2 linked regions of the Arabidopsis thaliana genome follow. The protein of the gene in region 1 interacts with the protein of each later gene in a pairwise test. Each region holds a gene or a part of one and is shown on either strand. Other genes may lie near its edges.

Region 1 (4,631 bases):
TTTGCTTGCCTTTTTGTTCATCTTTTGTGTTTGTTATGTCGACAGAGAAAACACTTTATTCTCTCAATTATTTTCATAGCAGTACACTGTAACATATATAAAAGTCATCAATATTTAGACATCTATTAAAAATGATTTCATGGAGTTATATTTGATTTTTCAAATTACAGGGGTGAATTAAATTTAGTTTGTATAAGAAAAAGTACTTGTACCGAACCGAACATTATAGCTTAATTTATTTTGTTTTATTGTTGTAACAAGCATTAATCAATGCCCTAGTGTACACGGTGATGCTTATGTAAAGGTAACATGCCAACAACAACAAAAAGACAAGCACGACAGTTCCAAAATGCATTTGTCCCAACTTTTTCCTTTTTAGCAGCAAACATTCATAGCCGCAATTTGAATGGATAAGTCTCTTTACACTCTTTAGGTAATCATATTCATCTATCATAATTATAGAATCCAAAATTAAAAGCACTAATAATAACCATAAAGACAAATGAACTTGCGCAGTTATGGAGGTTGGTTTATTCTAAGTTTAATTGGTAATCCATTAAAGTTTTGCCATCTTTAGTGTCATGATGTATCCAAAATAAACTTGTGGAAGAAAAAAACATGTGAATGGTGTAAAAAGAGAAGTATATATGGTGTTTTTATCAAACATACAACAAAAATATTACATTAAACTAGACATACTCAAAGAGAAGACCTAGTGCTGATTCATCATTCCAGATTTGGATGTTCACATAGCACTTGTTCTTTCATAATCAGCACAATATGAGTCGAAGAAGGAGGAAAACTGATCATCGTTGTCGATGAAACCAAATTGATGAGAAGTAGTACTGGTTTCACCACAATAGTAGTGATTTTGATGATCATCAAACATCATCGTCTCTTGCCAAACCAATGACAAGTCCTCACCTGTCGAAGAGCCCTCATAATAATCTTTACTCTGATCACCATTGTTATTTTGTTCCTCCTTAACCATGCCTGCGTCTATTGCTGTCACACTGCTGGTGTTGTTCTCTTGCTCTTGCACCATAGCATTGACATGGTTCTGAGCAGTGCTAGCAGCCAATGTCTTTTCCGAATCCATAATGATTTCTTGATCAAAAGGCTCGGTCTTCGCGTGCGTTTGGTCATTGGCAGTGCATGTGTGGTAGCCAATGTATGTGATTTGGAACATCTCAGAATCTTGATCCTGTTTCTGAACTTGCTTTGTTGCTTTGCATCCTTGCGTTGGCTTGTGTGTGCATCTAAAGTAACTTCTGCAAAACATTAAAACGCATATTGATTTTAGGCCATTGCAAACTTCACATAGTGACTTGAAATATAACATATGTTTCGGCTAGAGATCCCTGGTATAAAAATGAGTTGCCCATGTTTATATGTATTATATATGTATTGTGAGTATATAGATACATAAATAGACATATAAGGAGTTAGGTAATTAAGGACCTTGGGAATGTGGTATTAAGAATCTCCTTTTGTCCATATTTCCTCCAAGCATATCTGTCTTCAGAACTTTTAGCTTCCACGATCCTTGTATGTGATCTCGTCCTGCAAATGATAAATCACAAATTTGTTAATAAATGACTAAACCATTTTTGCCTTTTTATGTTCATTTCAAACAAATCCACGGTACATTCAGTCTTGTTTGTACCAAACTAATCGCAATTATACACTAATAGAAAGTAAAACAAAATTCGGTAAAGTTATGTATGGTATAGTCAGCATTGATTGGCCCTATCCAATCAATCGTATTCATACGATTCCTATCACTACCATTCACACAAACAGTGATTGTATTTTTAGTATATATTAAGCACTAGACATTATGAACAAATTCATATCCTTTTAACCTTTACGATTAGTCATTTCTATATGGGGCACTACCACTATATGATGGTATCCATAGACAAAAATAGCAAATTGTAATGAAAAAAGTTCGAATAAAATCCACATAAAAAGGAGATTATATCATTAAACACGAATAAAAATATAACATAATAAATTGATATTTGAATTCAACTTTTTTTGTCACTTACTTTCTAGTGTAGCATCCTCTTTTACCCTTACCAACCCCTAATCTCTTCTTCTTACTCTCACCGGAATCTCCACCGTTGCAACTCACCGGAGTCGCCGAATCATCCCCACATGAAGCATTCCATGAACCCTCGACGGCGATGGGGACAGAGACGGCGACGGGATCAAAAGAATCAAGAACCGATATAGTTTTATGGAAAGATCCCAAGATCTTAGACATGAGCTCATCAACGGGATCTGGACCACCGGAAACTGAACCCGACCCGGAAACAAGACGGGTCTCATCGATGTGGTACTGGTTAGAGTGTTGATGAGAAAGGAGAAGCTGAAGCTGAGTAGCGAATTCATAGCCTTCGACAAGTTGGTCGACAACTTTTCTCTTTATGGATTTCGTGTTGTTACTATTCGAATCCATTTTTTTCTCACAAAGATACAATGAATATGTAACTTTTTTTAGGTTTTTAGTATGATGATTTGAGAATGAAGAAATGTTGTAATATAGTGGAAAGAGAAGAAAATAGATTTTTTCTCTTGATCAGAAAAAAATCAAAGGAAGATGCTTAGGAAAGAGAGAGAGATGCTTATGCATTATAATGAACATGAAAGGGTATAAAGGGAAAGTAACCAACGTAGTTATGAATTTAGTCATGGATTTGAGGTTATAATTGGAAAGTTATAACTTATCTATTCACCCATTGGCTTGCAAGAGCTTTGCTTATGTCACATTGATGATGTGGAATGACATCACCCATCTCCGTAACACGTTTGATGGCTTGGTGGGTATTTTTTTTCTCCTTTCTTCGCGGATTTATTTAATTAATTAATGCTCATGAAAACGATCCAACAACTTGGTTAGATTTTTAAATGTTTTTTGCGAAAAATTATTTTGTTTTTATCTTGGAGAAAGAGTTATATAACTAATATTTTATGACATTCAAATTATTTTTCAGTACCACGAAATTCACTTTCAAGGGAAAGAACCAAAATAAGGAGAACTGTTTTTTTTTTTTGATAATTAAAGAGGATAAATGTTGACAAGATATATTCTATATCAGACCAACCACTAATATATTTTAAGAGTAATTGGGTCAAATAGTCTTAAGACAGAATAATATTTAGAGTTTTATCAATCTCGTAATTTTATTTTGAAGATATAAATGTATATGTTTTGCTATATAGTAGTATTTTTCCTAAGAAGAAACTATTTATACGTGTGTATTCTCGTGCATTTACGGAAGCAGAAGGATCCTAATGAATATTCTCATTGATGAATTTTGTCATGGATAGACTAGCTACTAAAACTAAAAGCTATAAGCATATATATATATATATATATATATATATATATATAGATAATCGTGGTGAGACCGCTTAGTTCGGATCTAAAACTAGTAATCAAGATTAATCTCATTATACTAAGCCAACGTTATTTAATTTTATCTTTATGTTTTGTAGAACTGCCATTAAAAACGCCGGAAAAGTACTTAAGTAGATAATCAATGTTTTGGATCATTTGGTAAAAGAACCAATACAATCACAAGTCACAACTCTAGGTTATGTCAGCCTATTGCTTGCTTGGCCCTGATCACTTTGGCAGTACTGATTTTATTAAAAATCTATGAATTTTGAACTGAACAAAAATATTAAAATTTGTTGAAACTGTCACTACTTTAATTAATACTCGTGTAACTATTGAAATATTTGTGTGAGTCATCTCATTTAATACCAAAAATAAATTAAAACCTATGATCGTAAGAAATGACTCATTTTGAATTTTTGATCCGTTGAATGAAAAATATCTTCGTTTCATTAAAATGAGTAATTTTGAGTTGGTTAATTATTATTTTTATTTCTGTGACGCATAAAACAATACATCTTTTTTCCTACCAAAAAAAACAATATTTTTTAAAAAAGTAACATTTGTTTAGTATTGGGATATTGTGACGGCAATGAGGGGGCAGGTGCCACTGAGTACTCCTCGGAGTCACAATAATTTCAGTCCACATTGTACATCCACTCGCAAATAAATAAAAAAAATCCATAAGAGTCAAATCCATTTGTTTGCTTATTAATTCTCTAGAAATTACAGATTATATTACGCTTACTTTTTCAACTATAAACAAAAACAAAACGGCTTTACTAGTTTTAATTTATCATACAACTTAACGAAACAGATTATACCAACAATAATAATGAACGGTGAGTAGTATAATGGTAGAACGATGAAATATTTATGAAATATAATTTGTGTACGAACTAATTAACGATATTTTTGTTGTTGTAGTAGTTGACTTCGATCGTAAAAAGATGAATGTGTTATTTCTCGGTTTGAACCAATAAATATGTCCAAACAGCTTTGTTTTACTTCTTCGTTTACTCATCCAAATTCGGCATTTATCTATAAATCCCAACTGATTAATCATTTAGAGATTGTCAAAATATGGACACTAGTTATATTCAAATGTTAAATTATTGCTTTCTTTCGGAGATGATGAGAGAAAGGTCAACGATGATTGGGGAACTGCTATTGACAAATGACAAATGGTTATTAGAATAATAACAATGTTTATTATAAATACATC
Region 2 (4,469 bases), 2.9 Mb from region 1:
AAATATTTTCTTAAGGCAAATAATATGCTTATTGTCCAAAGACATTTTGTCCAGTAGCATTTTACTTTAGATATCTTCTATTTTCTAATACTTTACTGACCTGGTCGAAATCTTTTTCTCTCCTTTGCGGGAAATCATGAGCCAAGTCAATAAAATTAGCAAACGAGATAAAAGATAGAAAAATGCATATCTAAATTAAAAACATAGAAACTAATTCCACGAATATAGGGCTTAATTTAGGACGATTTTCAGTCAAAAACGTCAAAATCCACGGAACAAGAATTGGGTCAAACTCATTGACCGGTCTAAATAGTTTCCTCCTACGTGAGATCCTTTACCCACGTCAACACCATTATATCTACGTGGGCTTTCCACGTCATGTGAAGAGGAGAATCGAGGGTATCACATTTTTGCATCAAGTCCACGCTGGAATATATTATAAAAATTATGTGAAAATAATTTGTACATACACTGAAACACACATGCATTAGTTTAGTATATACAAATATATACATACACATAAAACCAAAAGTATATATATATATGTATGATTGTTACGTGAAACTCCCATAACCTCTTTTTTTCCAGAAAACTATAAGAATTTGAATTTCTTCTCTGTCCAAACAGAAGAACCTTTGTTCTGTTTTTAATTCAATTACCTCTTTGTTTTTTCAGTTTTTGTTGTTTTTTCCTCCCAATATTTGAATTTCTTCCATGGATTTTCTTGTTCATCATACATCACTCATTCCAATATTATTCCACAAATCATCCTTGAAGCCTCGTTCATTAATTTTCTTGCTATAATTCATATTTTCTCGGGAATTTTCTTTATTTTCCCAGAAAGTTTTCGCATTAACATTGGAGATATACAAAGAACACAAACATGTTGCAAGACATGATCTCGTCTCACTCTCACGATCAGCTTTCCATCGTAATTCTCTTCTCATTATTGCTTTCATTTTTATTCATGCAATGCGTAGATGTTTTTGTCTTTGAAATTTTGCTTACATGTATAGATCATATAAACTCGAGTCTAATCTTATAAACTGATTAATTTTTATTCCGTAGTCTTTTATTCGGCAACTACCCTATAATTTCAGCTAGTTTTTCTTTTTTGGTGTAACGTCATTTTCTTCTACTTATATTCCATTTGATCTTCTTATAAATTGCTTCATTCTTTTCGCTTTTCTTTCTTTGTTATTCTCTCCGCACTTCAATTTGTCCTTCCATGCGATTTTTTTTTGAACAATCATTATCATAATTCTCATTGGCATACGATTATTACTTATAAACCAATAGAAAATCGTCACATGATATGGAACAATATTGTTCTACAAAATAACTGTAACCATAATTCACTATATCTATCGTATTTTAGTATAGATTTTTATTCTCATCAAACGAAAAATGCTAGATTTAATCTCTCACCTTGGATTTTATGCAAAATCTACATATTACGTGAATTTCACTAGGAGCATTGTTTGTTATCATGATGGGTTTGTATATGATCATGATCATAATGGGTTTCACACATGTTCTGATATTTTATGAAGTGCCCTTTACTTTTTCTTTGTGGGAAAAAAATCTGGATGTTGGTTCATACCAGGCAATTTTAAATTATTTTGTCAATACGAAAAGGAAATACCAGAATCAGAAAACTTTCCGTTTATAGAAACTCCACTCTTCTTTACTTTATCTTTTTAGCTATTGGAAGTAATTGGAACACTTCTTCTTAACATGTCACATAAAAGAACAGATGCATTTAATCTCTCTTGTGTTGTCCTCAACAAATATTGATAACAAACAAACATTGGATTTGATCAAGACACCAAAATCTTTGGAGTGTTTGGATGTCGAAAAACAGAATCAAAACATCTTACAGATTCTTAACATAGTTAAGCCAGAACAAAATTACTTAAGTATAAATAAATTTCTCTTAAGATTTAAGAACTAATATCTTGTAGCTTCTTATGATTTCACCAGTTCTAATTTCTTGTGACTCAAGCCAAAACCTTTGTTACCTTTTTTTGATGCTTGGCTTTAACGTAATCTCTTCAAAAGATCTTGGTTCATTTACTTTCCATGCTCGATCTAATCTTTGAAACTAACTATTGTTTTTATTATCTTAACAGGATGATATCACGAGCCCTCTTAGTGCTCAGATCTTCGATTTCTGCGATCCACAACTCTTTCAAGAAACCTTTAATCAATCCTCTGAAGTCACCTCTACTTCAAACATTCTTGAGAAATCCGGAAGCTTCCATTCCAACACTAACACCACCACAACAACTGAGAACAGTAACAACAACAACAACAACAAGAACACAAACCTTCAAGACGATGAAGATGACAACAACAACACGGATCTGTCCATAATCTTTGATTCACAAGAAGATTTCGAAAACGATATAACGGCTTCAATCGATTTCTCATCATCTTCACTGCAATATCCAGTCATCGATCATCTCCTCACGGCAATAAGCCAAGACCAGTTTGATTTCTCATCAGGTCTCCAAGTTATTCATCAGCCTCCTAACATTTCATACTCTGGAGATCCTCTGTCTCTATCGGCGATTTCCTCTCTAGCTCCTCCTCCCTTACAATCAGGGGTTTTCGAAGAAGATTGTCTTTCTTCAGTCCCAAGTTACAATCTTGGTTTGAACCCTTCTTGCTCTTTCTTCCGTTCGTCCGGTTTACCGGCGTATATGAGTACCGGTTTATTATCTGCTGAAAGTAATCTCGGTTATCTTCCCGGGAATATTCATGTGGGATCAGAAATCAATAAGCCACATGATCCACTGATGGACTTTCAAGCTGATAATGGTGGTTTTTTTTGTCCGGATTCCATCAAACGTATGTTTAATCCAGAAGATCTCCAGGTAATTGAGTTTTTGTTACAAATATTTTCCGGTTAACGTTTGGTTATCTTTAAGAACCGGTATGGAGCTAAGATTTCCGGTCACAAGACCGGGTTGGTATTCTGATGTGATGCTAACCGGTTTAATTTTGTTGAAGAAGGCACTTGGTGGTGGCGCCGAGAACCAGAGCCACTTGGTGACACCTCAAGCTCATCCAGCATTAGGACCGGTCGATATAAACGGTTTAGAAGACTCAACGTTGAACAAAGTTGGAAAACTCTCCCCTGAGCAAAGGAAAGAGAAGATTCGTAGGTACATGAAGAAGAGGAACGAAAGGAATTTCAACAAGAAAATCAAGGTTCGGTTTTTATTAAACCAAACCGGACTTAACCGTTGTTAAATGTTGTCCCAATGATTTTTTTGGGGGGTTGTAGTATGCGTGTAGGAAAACATTGGCAGATAGTCGACCAAGAGTTAGAGGAAGATTTGCAAAGAATGATGAATTTGGTGAGCCAAATAGACAAGCTTTTTCAAGCCATCATGATGATGAAGATGAAGACGATGTAAGAAAACCGGGTTATTTTAACTCGATTTATATGAATTTATGTGAAAACTAACTAAGCCGATTGGGTTTACAGATGGGAGTGAAGGATGAGGAACAATTGGTAGATTCTTCAGACATTTTTGCACACATTAGTGGAGCAAATTCCTTCAAGTGCAACTACCCAATCCAATCTTGGATTTGAGTTCCAAGTGCAACACCACATATACCTCATGTTTTAACATGAATCTTATAATAGTTACACAAATAGTATTGCTATAGAGTTATGACTTGTATACTTAGTTTTGTCATGCCCCCAACAAGTTCTGTGACTTCTGTCAAAAAAATAAATAATCTAACTCGTATTGAAAATAAATAATGAATAATGGGTTTAGGCAGGTTTGGATGAATAAATCAGTAGTGAGAATAAGGTTGTAATTATGTTACCTAGCAATTTGGAAATTTTGTAGATACTATGATATGTGATGTCTTGTATTTGATAAGTTGAGTTGAATTTTTTATCACCTGAACACTCTATATATATAATCGTCATATGAGTTATTATTTTGCTTCTCAAATCATTCAGATGTTCTATGCATACAAAATGAATAGACCGGTCAAATTGTCATGTCTAACACCTGGTTAGAAGATCTAATTAGTAATTAGATAATAACTATTTGATCCAAAAAAAAGGATAGTAGTAACTATTTTTAAGAAAAAGATGAAATAATTGGGCTTTAATTTGTTAGTATCAAAATGTTGGACTGGGCCAACAGAGTGTTACAGATCAATTATATAATTAAGGCCTCCCTTGTAGGCTACCATTTAAGATTAATGTAAAGCTTAAACGATTGACAACTTGATGCATGCGCAATAAATGATGATCGTACCATAATTTCATGGCCATATATAGTTGCTAAACTGAAAGAAGAACAAAAAGGTTTGTAGTAACTTTGTAATGAAATAATTCGATATTTTATTATGTTGAATAGTTCTTTTTGTTCGTTTCTGAAAAGTGAAAACCCATTTGCTAATTTTTTTTAACTTCTAAGTTCTAACCGAGGACTGTT

Evidence for each region. The genes of interacting proteins can lie anywhere in the genome.
Region 2: the proteins of WRKY54 (region 1) and AT2G33350 interact in a two-hybrid assay, tested with the Arabidopsis thaliana proteins (one large-scale study listed by BioGRID).

The regions. Positions count from the first base shown.
Region 1 is NC_003071.7:16,999,891-17,004,521, forward strand, and holds WRKY54 (WRKY DNA-binding protein 54), read right to left. Parts: upstream 2,639-4,631; 5' UTR 2,465-2,638; coding exon 2,052-2,464; intron 1,564-2,051; coding exon 1,462-1,563; intron 1,272-1,461; coding exon 746-1,271; 3' UTR 529-745; downstream 1-528. UniProt on the Arabidopsis thaliana protein: Transcription factor. Interacts specifically with the W box (5'-(T)TGAC[CT]-3'), a frequently occurring elicitor-responsive cis-acting element.
Region 2 is NC_003071.7:14,133,233-14,137,701, forward strand, and holds AT2G33350 (CCT motif family protein), read left to right. Parts: upstream 1-1,909; 5' UTR 1,910-1,970; coding exon 1,971-2,045; intron 2,046-2,132; coding exon 2,133-2,879; intron 2,880-3,015; coding exon of another isoform or gene 3,016-3,018; coding exon 3,019-3,216; coding exon of another isoform or gene 3,217-3,258; exon of another isoform or gene 3,259-3,292; coding exon 3,293-3,421; intron 3,422-3,496; coding exon 3,497-3,604; 3' UTR 3,605-3,929; downstream 3,930-4,469.